Linked DNA regions of Caenorhabditis elegans. The protein of the gene in region 2 purifies or fractionates together with the protein of the main gene of each other region. This does not show direct contact. Each region holds a gene or a part of one and is shown on either strand. Other genes may lie near its edges. The genes, in order: F52C12.2 and T01B7.5.

What was found.
Region 1: the proteins of T01B7.5 (region 2) and F52C12.2 fractionate together in Caenorhabditis elegans (co-fractionation; one large-scale study listed by BioGRID). This does not show direct contact.

What each region holds. Positions count from the first base shown.
Region 1 is NC_003282.8:1,951,836-1,957,285, forward strand, and holds F52C12.2 (18S rRNA aminocarboxypropyltransferase), read left to right. Parts: upstream 1-1,743; 5' UTR 1,744-1,760; coding exon 1,761-2,176; intron 2,177-3,413; coding exon 3,414-3,781; intron 3,782-4,677; coding exon 4,678-4,679; 3' UTR 4,680-4,874; downstream 4,875-5,450. Other genes in the region: tsen-54 (tRNA-splicing endonuclease subunit Sen54 N-terminal domain-containing protein), read left to right, coding at 552-640, 710-846, 901-1,035, 1,131-1,266; F52C12.6 (non-specific serine/threonine protein kinase), read left to right, coding at 4,890-5,053.
Region 2 is NC_003280.10:8,714,836-8,722,232, forward strand, and holds T01B7.5 (Sas10 C-terminal domain-containing protein), read left to right. Parts: upstream 1-1,998; 5' UTR 1,999-2,009; coding exon 2,010-2,032; intron 2,033-2,084; coding exon 2,085-2,290; intron 2,291-2,334; coding exon 2,335-2,558; exon of another isoform or gene 2,559-2,601; coding exon 2,602-2,688; intron 2,689-3,553; coding exon 3,554-3,660; intron 3,661-3,707; coding exon 3,708-3,828; intron 3,829-3,873; coding exon 3,874-4,032; intron 4,033-4,198; coding exon 4,199-4,351; intron 4,352-5,097; coding exon 5,098-5,241; 3' UTR 5,242-5,246; intron 5,247-6,677; 3' UTR 6,678-6,850; downstream 6,851-7,397. Other genes in the region: Ras-related protein Rab-21, read right to left, coding at 36-173; cyn-11 (Peptidyl-prolyl cis-trans isomerase 11), read right to left, coding at 358-467, 905-1,085, 1,131-1,289, 1,344-1,445; T01B7.13 (uncharacterized protein), read left to right, coding at 582-736, 786-882.

The DNA.
Region 1 (5,450 bases), on a different chromosome or scaffold from region 2:
ATCTACATTAACCCCCGTAAAACTACAAAATGCTTCCGTAAATCTTCACAATCATCCCCCGTAAATCTACAATAAGCTCCCGTAAATCTACAGTAATACCCCGTAAATTTACAGTAATACCCCGTAAATTTACAGTAATCCCCCGTAAATCTACACAAAAATCCGTAAATCTACAGTAATCCCTCGTAAATCTACACAATGAGCCTCCGTAAATCTACATTAACCCCCGTAAAACTAAAAAATGCTTCCGTAAATCTTCACAATCATCCCCCGTAAATCTACAATAAGCTCCCGTAAATCTACAGTAATACCCCGTAAATTTACAGTAATACCCCGTAAATTTACAGTAATCCCCCGTAAATCTACACAAAACTCCGTAAATCTACAGTAATCCCTCGTAAATCTACACAATGAGCCTCCGTAAATCTACATTAACCCCCGTAAAACTACAAAATGCTTCCGTAAATCTTCACAATCATCCCCCGTAAATCTACAATAAGCTCCCGTAATTCTACAATAATCCCCCGTAAATCCACACAATTCTCTTACAGTACTCCACACATCGCCGGCGCTCGTCAACTTTCTTCCCTTGGAAATGCTCGAATCCATCCAAACTTCCACGATTTTACAGAATCTAAAAGTTAGTACGACACTCCGAAATCCCGCCGAAATTTTGGTGGCGCCAAATCAAAAAATTCAAAAATTTCAGCCGCCCACACCCAATCGACCGCCGTGCCGACCGCCGTCTTACTGGCCATTTGTAGATCACCATGTGACAAATTGGCAGGAATTCCGATTTCAGGCCGAGCAGGCCCGACAGGAGACGGTTTTGAGGAGGCTTAAAAAGTAGATTCTAGGAAATTTCTAAAAAAAATGCTCCAATTTTCCTGTAATTTTCAGATTACGCCCACCGTCGCACGCCGAGCTCCGCCGAGAGCGGATTACTGTAGAAAATGTGGATTTTCACGTGTTTTCGCCAGCCTCTTTCTCCCATCGGCTACCAGCTCGGCCGTTGTTCTCACTAATTTGTTATAGGTGAGCATTTTCGAATTTTTAACCAAAAAATTTGAAATTCCCGGCCTTTTTTTAACCCGGGAAAGGAGAAATTTTCAAATTTTCCGCTTTTTCAGCGCCACCGGACCACCGCTGAAAATTTCGGAGCTCGCCGAGCTCGAAAACGTGGTCTTCGCGATGGAAGAGGCCGGAAAAGTGAATTTCGTTGCGATGAGTGGAGCGTCGATTGATCTCAATAATTATTTGTGTTGATTTATCGATTTTTTCGCTATTTTTATCGTATTTGTTGCTCTATTTTTCCCCCGAAGTTGTTCAATTTTCAATATTCTTGTTCAAACTTCCGCCCAAAAAACTTGCCGGTTAAACTGGGCGCGGGTACGTTATTTCGTTATTTCGGAGTGTTGTTGTTTTGAATTTTATCGGAAATCGTTGTGAAATAGGGGTTTTTAGTGGTTTTAATGAATTTTTTTTTGAAAAATTGGTTTTTTAAACTAAATTTTGATTTAAATTTAGGTATTTCACCAGGAAATATCGATTCTCAAAAGAAAATCTCCGAAACTCGGTGGTCCGCTAAACAACACGCGCCATCGGGATTTCGGAGCTTCGTTGTTTCTATTTTATTTATATTCAGTTTTTACCATTTTTTTTCTTGATTTTTCTATATTTGAAGGTGTTTTTTTGTGTAAATAATCGAAAAGATGGTAACAATTAAAAATATGTTTCTTCCAGATTGTCGGAATTTTGCAATGGGAAAAGGAAAACATCGAGTTGTGAAGCCACGAAGAGCGGATAAACCGCCGAAAGAGCGAAATGTGGAGGAAGAAGTTGAGACAGAAGAGGAAGAAGAGGATATCGAAGATGAATCCACATCGGAGCCGGGCTCAGAAGACTCTGACGACGAGCCGGAAGAAGACTACAAATTCCCATTTCGTCTGGCGATGTACGATTTTAATCAGTGCGATCCGAAGCGATGCTCCGGGAGAAAGCTTCTTCGTGCGAATTTGATCACAGAAGTGAAGCTCGGGCAACGATTTCCCGGATTAGTGCTCAGTCCAACCGGAACGTACACATTGGCTCCGCGAGACCGTCCATTTGTCGAACAGAATGGGCTCTGCGTTGTGGATTGCTCATGGAAGGAAGTCGAGAGAACTCCGTTGCATAGGTGCGGGAAAACGCATTAAATCGAGGAAAATCTGGAAAATTTTAGAATTCTGGAAATCTGTTATAAAAAAAAATTTTCGACGAAACATTTTTAAAAAATCCATTTTCAAATATTTTCAGTGGAAAGTCGCTTCAAAATCAGCATTTTTGAGGATTTTTCTCAATTTCTCAGTGAAAAATTTCAAATTTTAAATAAAAACCTGAGAAATTCAGAATTTCTAAATTTAAATGTTAGAATCCCCCGTAAATCCACACAAAAACCGTGCGTAAATCCACATGATGTTCTCGTAAATTCACACAAGTCTCCTCCCGTAAATCTACATGAAATTTTATTGCTTGCTTTAAGCTCTGAAAAATCTCAATTTTTTTCAAAAATAAAAACCACAAAAAAAATTGCCTGAAAAATCTAAAATTTTAAAATTTTAATTCCTTGTGGCAAATGTGCTCTACTGATAATCTAGGTGTTAATAATGTTATTTTTACTAAAAATAACATGATTAACATCTATGACTATCAGTAGTTCACATTTAGTCACGCGTAGGGGGAACCTCTGCCCAAAATTTCATTACTCCACCTCAACAACTTAGGAAACTTAATAATGTATTATTAAAGCCATTATCTTCTCATACAAAAAGGATTTATTGTAAAATATTATCCTTTATTAAACATTCTCGATTTTATTTTCAAAAAACTGCAACAAAAAAAAATGGCTAAAAAGTTAGAAATTTCAAGTTTCGGGTCTCGCCACGAAATTGTCTGGGTTACTGTAGTTTTCATGGTGGGGCCCACGATTTTTTATCAAATATGATGAAAAATTGGTAATGGCTATACTCAAATAGAACATTTGAATAAAACTCAAAAATTTTGAAAAAAAAACTAAATTTAATAAAGTTATGGGGTGATTCAAGTAGTGTAGCAAAATGTATTTAAATACATGTTTTTATATACTTGAATACAGTTGTGACGTAATTTATCAACACTTTTTAATTTTCCGACATTACTTGAATAACCCCATAACTTTATTAAATTTTTCTGAAAAAAATCGAAAATTCGCAAAACATGAAATTTTCTGTGGCAAATGTGATCTATCGATAATCTAGATGTTAATTATGTTATTTTTTTTACCAAAAATACCATTATTAACACCTGCGACTATCAGTAGTTCACATTTAGTCACGCGTAGGGGGAACCTCTGCCCAAATTTTCATTTTCCCCTAAAAAACTTGCAATTTTTCCAGAGTAAAAGCCCCGGAGCACCGTCTTCTTCCATATTTGGTGGCAGCCAATTCAGTCAACTACGGAAAACCATGTCATCTAACATGTGCCGAGGCGATGGCCGCCGGTCTCTACATTTTAGGCTTCCAGGAGGCCGCAAGCCGCCTCATGAAGCCCTTCTCCTGGGGAGATCACTTTATTGAGCTCAACAAAGAGCTTTTAGATCTCTACGCGGCTTGTGATACACCGGAAGACGTGATTCGAGCACAAAATGAGTATTTGGAGAGAATCGATAAGGAACGGGAGCAACATTCCCGGGATATTGATCTACCGCCGAGTGGTAGTGATGAAGAATATGAGGATGAGGAAGAAGTGGAAGAATTGAAGAAATGTGAGGATTTTCGACTGGAAATTCTGAAAAAGCGAAGAAATTTGACATAAAACTGAAGAATATTGCAAAAATTTCAAATTTTTGATCATCGAAAATTTTAAATATTTGCAAATTTACTAAAAATCACTAGAGATTTTGGTTTTTTTTCACAATTTTACTGAAAACTGAAAAATTCTAATTTTCGTTCATAATTCGTACGAAATTATTTAATTTTTCGGAAAAAAAAATTGAAAATTAACTGAAAATCACAGTTTTCATAAAAATTCTTTGAAAACCTTTAAAAAAAAAATTTTTTTTTTTGAGAAAATCGATAAAAATTTGAATTTTTGAGAAGTTTTTCTATATTTCAATTTCAATTTTCCAAGAAAAAATATTAAAAAATTGAATTTTCTGAAAAAAAAATTTGAAAAAAATAATTAAATGTTTTCTTCAGTTTTCTGGGGAAAAAATATAAGAAATTTATTTTTCTAAAAAAACATTTTTTTATTTCTATAAAAATGCGTATTTTTCGGGGAAAAGACGATAAAATTTTAAATTTTCCAAAAAAAAAAGTTGAAAAAAAATTTGAAAATTCGAATTTTAGGAAAAATGACAAAAAAATTGGAATTTTCTGTGATAAACGAATAAAAATTAAAGTTTTAAGGAAAAATTTATTTTTAAAAATTTAACTTTTCTTTTTAGAAAAGTCACATATTAGACCGAAAAAATTGAATTTCTCGCTCAAAAAATCGAGAAAAACGCATTTTTATATCAAAATACCCTAAAATTTATAAAAAATTCCACAAAAAATAATATTCCCGCTCCAAAAATCGAGAAAAAAAAAATTTTTTTAGTGCAAAAAATCCCTAAAATTAATTTTTAAATAATAATTCCTTCAAAAAATTCAAAATTTTCAGAAAATCTCCCCATTCACTGCCGCCGAGCTTCATCAATTTCTGCACATTGTCATTTTTCGTTGGATTTTTTTTTGATAATTTTTTTCCTTAATTTTTCGTTTTTGTTATTGTTTGTTATTCATGTTTCTTACTTGATTTCCGGTTTTTTCTCTCATTTCCCCGCCAAAAAAAAATTGGAAAATTTAATAAAAATTTCAGGTAAAAAATTCAAAATGACAGCGGCGACGACAAGCTCCGACTCGGAAGGCGAAATGGATTTTGAGACGACAATTGAGACGGGATTCGGGTATCAAATCGATGGATTACTGTATCAGGGAGCCGAGGCGAAAGTTACAAAGTGTATTTGGTTGGGAAGGCAGGCTATTATCAAAGAAAGGTTCGAAAATTCGACGAAAATCGGCTAAAAATTAGCAAAATTCGGTTAAAATCTCACTTTTTCACACAAAAATTCAAATTTCCCTCTGTCCGTACGCTGCATGTGCGCTCCACTGAGAAAACTCAAAAATTCAAATGTCAAAAAAAAAGTTCGGAAAAAGTTGACAAAACACTCGAAAATATCTAGAAAAATATGAAAAATCGTGCATTTTCACTCGCAAATTCAAATTTCCTGTCTACCGCAAGATGCAAATGCGCTCCATTGAATCAATTGTGACTCTTACACTTTTAATTCAAATTTTCGTAAAAATTTGGCACAAATCCCACAAAAAAAAACTTGAAATTTGTGAAAAATAGGTTAAAAATCGTATTTTTTCCTCAAAAGTTCAAATTTCCTG
Region 2 (7,397 bases):
GGATTATCTATCGCAACCTTTTTCTAAATTATTACCTGAATCGTCGACAGGTGTTTGCAGCTGAATTTATTTTCAACGAATCGAAGCACAAGTGATGATTTACCAACACATCCTTCGCCGAGCAACACGATCTTGAATTTGAACGACTTCTGATCCACGTTGGTTTCGAGCATTTATTCTGAAAGTATTCGATTTTGAAGGTTTATTTTCTTTACTTCGCTTTTAAAACTGAACCAGATATACTAACAGTCACTTATACTGTCTTTTCATTTCATTTTTCAACCCATATAATCAGAAGTAATTAATAGTTTATTGTGAATATAACAAAACGAGATCAAAATAACAATACAGTGAAAATTAGAGTTGGCCACATTGAACAACAACAATCGGAAGTTTCGGCTTGTTATTGGCTCCAGTTGGAACATTTTCGATTTTCCGAACCGTCAGCATTCCATCGAGTACTCGTCCTGCAATAAACGATCGGTCAGAAATATCAAACATATCAATGGCGTCATTAACTAGCTTTATCTCGTATAAAAGGTGATAAGGATATAAGGAAATCTAGTTGTTTTAGCTAGACGATGACACGCATTCTCGTTCTAATTTTTTTCTTTTTAAAATGCGTTTCATTGCAAACATTACTTCCTTTATTGTATGCTAACGCTGGCATGTTCAACCCATATAATCAGTATAAAACAACAACTATGGCACCATCAATGTATCACCAACATTATCAGTGGGTATCATTAAAATTTGCGATTTTCTTTTTAAAACACTGCTTTCAGGGGATTGGGATGGAGAACTAATGACGTTGGAGACATTTATCACAATCACAATCCGTATTCTTCTTTCTTTGTACTACAGAAATCAACTTATCCGTGAATTTGAAATAAAAAAAAATTACCAAAAACTACATGTTTGTTGTCAAGGAAATCGGTTTTTGCGCAAGTGATAAAAAACTGACAACCATTTGTGTCAGAGCCAGCGTTAGCCATCGAAAGCATTCCTGGTCCTATGTGCTTCAGCTCGAAATTCTCGTCACGGAACTTTGAACCATAGATGCTCATCAAACCGGTTCCATCGCCCTGAAAAAATGATATAACTTTAAAATTTAAAATTGTTAAACTTACGTTGCAGAAGTCGCCACCCTGAATCATAAAGTCCTTGATCACACGATGAAATGTGCAGTTTTTGTATCCGTTTGGGACACCATCTTTTTTGTATTCTCCTGTACAGAACTGACGAAAGTTTTCAGCAGTTCTCGGTGTTACATCAGCAAATAACTCGATCTGAAAAATTATGAAATATATAGCAAATTAAAACTGGAATGGTCGTCAACTTACAACAATAGTTCCGATTGGTGCACCACCGGCGGTAACTTCTAGAAAAACGATTGGGTTATCCGGATGACGGAGCTGCTCGGCAAACTTGTCGTATTCAGTCATTCTGAAAAAGAAAACATATAAATGAGTTAGTTTTTAAAACCAGAAAAACGTTTTCTGTAAGTATTCGAAATAAGTATTTTCGAAATGTGTCAGGTTTTTCCGAGAATAATGGGATCAACTGAACTAATCGTTCATAAGTTTTATAACCAAGAAATACAAATTCGTCAATAAAATTCGACATATTCAAGAAAAAAGTGATATTCGTTCTATTCAAAACAAAAAAAGGTGAGCATTAAATGGGTGTATAGAACAATAATAAAGTGCGCGGGTAGTTTGCAATCAGAAACCCCGCCCACAAAGCCCTGCCGCTAATAATTTTCCCCCGTCTTTTCTCAAATTCAACTCGAAAATTCAATTTTTGAATAATTTATCTTGTAAAAGTTCGTTCTATTCATTTAAAAATTAATTTATCGAAGTTTATCACACGATTAAAGCATAATTAACTTTATTAGAGTTATTCATTGATTTGAAAATCAGAATTTGGTTTATTTTCGGTCGGTGCAATCCGTTTCTCTGTTGAAAATGCTATAAATTGCTAATTTTTGGATTTCAGATACTAGAACTATGTCATCAAGGAAGGGGAAAGCGTAAGTTGAATGTTTTTCACAATTTATAAATAATCATTAAATATATTTTCAGATCTGCTCATATCTCATACGAAGACGAAAATGATGATCTCATTGATGAAATCAATACTTTTCATAACAAAGACAGAAAAGTCGAAAAGGGTGCTATTCACAAAAGAAAAACATTCAATCGTCCAGAAGAGGTGTTAAACGTTGAAGCAGAAGCATCGGATAGCAGTGAAGACGATGGATCCGACTTTGATGATGACGATGTTAATGGTAGTTTTCTTTCTGAATTACCTGATTAACGTAATTTATTTAAGATATCACGGACAACAAATGGGGTAAAAAGAGGAAAGATTTCTATGGAACTGGATTCGTGGATAAAGATTGGGGCGGAATGCGTGAAGAAGAAATGGAAGATGCTCAACTCGAAGAGGAAGATGCGTTGACTCGTCAAAAACAAATCGACAAATCGACAGCTGCCATTGCTGATTTATTTGACGACGACGATGAAGATGAGGAAGAAAAAGAAGAAACTGTCGAGGTAAACGAATTGAAAGAATAATTAAAATAATGAAAAGTTTTAGGTGGAAACAGTTTTAGAATTCAATGAGGAGAATGCAAGGACAAAGAACAAAAAAATCGTGAAAACTCTGGAACAATTTGAAGCAAGAGTAAGTTCTAATTTTTTAAAATGTCTCTTCACTTTTTTCCCGGTATCAGTTGCAGCTTCTTCCTCTTGTGATAATTTCCTATTTCTTCCTAATGCCAATTCTCGAAAGTTTATTAAATTTTGAAGCTATCACTTGTGAACATCAAATGCTGATTCGTATCGTTTCCAAGGTTAATTTTTCGTGTTCTCTCTTTTTCAGTATCTTCCCGTTTTCACTTCATCTGTTCTCTTCATTCTTTCAACTAAACACCACCGATGGCTAGTAGATAAGCGGTCTCAAATCGCGCAATCGTCTCTGATTACGTCAAAAACGGGTTGCCATCATAGCCTAAGGATGCTGGACGATTCGCTTTAAACGATGATTCTCAACGGACAAAACACACAATTGAAACGATTTAAATCATCCAACATCAGACGCCGTTATGTGTGAACATTAAAAAGCGAAAGCAAAGTGCCCTTCTGGTGTCTGAAGAATTCGATGCCTGAACTGCTCGAGTTAGTTTCGTATGTTCTCATCCTCAAACATCACATTCTAATTATTCTCATAACTTGTCTTGTTTTCCTCGTTTCTGTTCACCTGGTCGGTTTGTAATTCACACCAAACGATGTTGGACATATATCGGCAGCGACCGCCAGCTTTTTCTGTTTTTCAATTATATATTGCTACTTTCAATTCTAATTAGCGGCTAAGAATTGTTATACAGCTGTTTCCGGAGAGCTCGTGACCAGTTTCCTTTTCACCTGATAACATTTTCTCTTGTTGTTATCTTTCTCTTCTTCCTTTTCACTTGTTTCTTTTCATCACCATTCTAACAGTTCAATTTTCCCCTTTTTTCGGTTTAATTTTAATTTTTTATACTTTTCAGAAACGCATCTTCGATCTCGTCGTGAAGCCTCTTGAAAATGTAATCAAGCAGATTCCAAAATGCGCATTGCGATCGCAGTTAGTCTACGTTGCCCAGACATATGCATCGTATGTTTTCTTTTCCTAAATTTCCATTTTTATGATTTATCTTTCAGATACCTCATGAACACAGCATTCCTGTTGAATCTCAGAGCCAAACAGTTTTCCAATGAAAAACTCGACGATCCACTTGTTGACATCCATCCTGTAGTGGAGTCGCTGAAACGACTTGAAAAGGTATTCCGATTGATTTAAATTTCAAATACAAACTTTTAAATTCAGAAAATCACCGAGTGTGAAGATTTTTTGCATTCGAATTCGGATCATCTGGATGAGCTCAAGAAATGGGCGGAGTCGGAGCCAGAAAATATGGAAGAATTGATTTCGAAGGTTGGAGATGTTCAACTTACAAAGAAGAATTTTGGAGCAATTATGAACAATGTAAGTTTAGGGAAAACATTATTCGAATTTAAATACATTTTTTGTTTGCCGTATATTTTAAAGATTTTTAAAGTTTGTAAAATTTAAAAAAATTGTACATTCTTTTGTCAATAAAAATCAGGAAACATAGCTGAATTGGATTAAGATCTGGATTTACTTTTTTCAGAATCTTTCAACAATCACATCTTCTGATAACACATCAATTCATCCACACTTCACACCAATGGATGCAGATGAAAAAAGAAAGGCCTCTGACAAAGTTGCCAAAAACCGTGAATACGCAGAACGACGTGGGAAAAAGAAGGCCAAGACCAGCAAGGTAACTTTATTTTCGATTTTTTATCTTATTTTTAATACCAAAAATATTTGTATCATAAACAATTAGTGTATGAAAAATAATTCGATGAGTAGGGTCGACATTTCTTGTGCATGAAAATGTTGTTACAATGCTTTCACGAATACATGAATATATTTGAAAAATAACAATTCTTGTTTGACAAAAAAGTCTCACAAAGCCGAGTTTCATGTGAGATCAAAATATGAATACACTACATAACTCTCTATTTTTTGCTCCAACCCAAAAATCCAATACGTCGAGACGGCGTCTATGCTCCCCACCACAGCGAGTAATTGGCTGCCGAAATCTCAACTTGCTTATTTGGTTTCTATTTTTTTAAGATTCTTTTTCGAGAGTTGTGATAAGAAAATAATTAATTCAGTATCACACCTGCTTGCTACTGAATTCAAAAAAAGTTTTTTAAAAAGCGTAGTGTAATGAATTATCTGAAGCATATTTTAACTCAAAAAGAAAACCGAGCACAAATGAAGCATATAACCATGACTTATTCAGACAGATAAGTAATACGATTTTGTTTAATCTTAATTTTTCTTGAAAGAAATAAAATAGACTCACTGTGACATAGACAATTCAACGTCTAGGCGACGACACTTGAGAGTTTCATCCTTGGTTACGTATACTATGCTCATTTTTACTGCAACTCCCAATTAGCTGCGTTGTGTGTTTTTTTTTTTGAAGTCTCCCAGTTCAATAATTTCTAATTTCAGACTAAAAATCGTCGCAAGGTCCACGCCATCGAGAAGCGCGTCAAGTCTCAGATTGGAAACGTTCGTCGCGAAATGCAGAAATATTCTGGAGAAACGAGCGGAATTCGTGCATCTACAATCAAGTCGACTAAGCTTATCGCTTAAAAAAAGTGAGTTGAATGTAATGCAGACATCTCATTCTGATATCGTGCCATGTCATATTTATCACGCGACATACTCTTCACTCTCCACTGCGCAAATGAGCTTCACTCTTTTACACATGAAAATAATTAGCATATGAAACCGAAAACAATGTGAATATTAACTTTCAACATAAATATCCTATCAACATATAAAAACAATGAAAAACCTGAATTTACTTATCATATGGTACGTATGTTTAACCTTTTCCTATTCCTCTCGTTTGCCCTTTTAGTCGGTTGAATGTGTTTTTGTGTGCCCGGTCACTTTGGGGCTATATTCATCAAAAGAGGATAGCCTTCTTCTTATTCTTCCTCCATCGGTCATTTCGCTCCTCTCTTTTCGACCCCGGCAATATGTGCGCGAGGTCTGGCACCACCGTGTGTGTGTGTGTGAGAGCGAGTATCCTATTTTTTATTCGTGTCCCCCGTCCCCATGAACGACTGGAGCCCTAGCCACCTGCTACTTTCCATTTTAGTTCAGCTGACCTCGTATTGTCTACGAGCTGTTCATAATTTCATAAGAGCAATAAAGTGTACTATAAAACTGTGATTTCAGACTGTTTCTCTATTTTTGAATCTTTTTAAATACAACAAATTCGAAAAGGTGTTGACTAGTCTGTCTGAATGAATATTTTAATTTGAGATTTGAGTCTGATGTGTGTTACACATTGATGAGAATTTAAAGTAATTGTGACGTGTCATTCTCGAAAACCAAGCCTCTTCGGATTTGTTCAATAATTCGTATAGCTCGTTTCATGTCAGAAAGGCGAATACCCGTAACTAAATTACTTTTTCCTAGAATGCTAAAGAAAATAACTGATCTATTTCAATCAAGTTTAGGCTAAAATTTAATAATTGATGGCGTTCACATATGTGTGTGTGCCTGCGTGTGTTTGCGTGTTCGATGATAAGCTTTCTTCTGATTGTCTTCCTATGATTCATCAATTCTATTGCCTCCAGCCTCTTCTTCTTTCATACAATTTTTCACTGAAAGTTTCATAGCTCTCGGAAAATGCCTACGACGAAAATTGTAGTCACATATCACATATTGATAAGCAGACGTTTTTCATATTTCTCTATTTCTATTCAATGATATAAAGTGGTCTGCAGCATGTTTGATTATTAATTTTTTTTTTTCTAAATTGAATTATCTTGGCTTTGAACTGATTAAAAAATGCATTTTCTATTTTCTTTACAATCGATCGTTTTGTTATAGTCCTCGTGTGAATTCTAAAAATGTTCGTTCATCAGAAATTATAGATGACCTTTGTTTATTTTGTGTCTTCTATGAAAAAAAAAAGAGCCTATCATCCAAAACTTCTGATATCAACGGTTGAAAATTAATTTTTATCAATTTTCTCAACATTGCATTACCTTTTCAACCAATTTAATTTTCAGGTGTCATCAATTTCTCCGTTGCCACTGCATTCAGCTGGACTTTCCTGGTTTTTTTGATCGTTAATATCTTGTTTTCTTTGATTTATTCATTTTTCATTTATCCTGTTAACCTTCGTTGTTGATTTTTTTTGTTCCTAAAATCGCCCTTTCTACCAAAATGAAGTTGAGTTTTCAATTTTATTGAAAATAATTATTTTATTGCCTTATATCGGTTTGAAACCCGACGAATATCTTTCTTCTATTATCTTATTATTGTCATTTCCCATATTCACATTACTTCTTCATTATTATCTTCATACATTGTTATCACATGGCTCCTCATTGATTATGATAGATTCATTTCCCCTCTGGAGATTTGATTGTCTTGGCAACAGTCATTCTCCCCACCAACACATATCAGCTCGCAGCTCCGCCTCATTCTACATTTTCTCATTTTACATTCCATTCAGTCGGCTCAGTGTCTTTCGTTTCCCCAAAAAGCTCGCTTAGATATAAACCTATAATTATCAGAGTGTTGAAGCAAACATCTCCGATGCTCGGTGAGCTGCAGTGACTAACTGAGACAAGCACTGGTTTTCAGCTTAGAAATTCACCTGTTTCTGTGGCATTTTCGCAATATTATATTTCCTGAATTTCTTAGAATCAGAGTGTCACTGTAATTTCAGCTGCTCGTTACCGAGGCTTCACGTAATGGGCGGACGAGTACTGTTCCCCAATGCT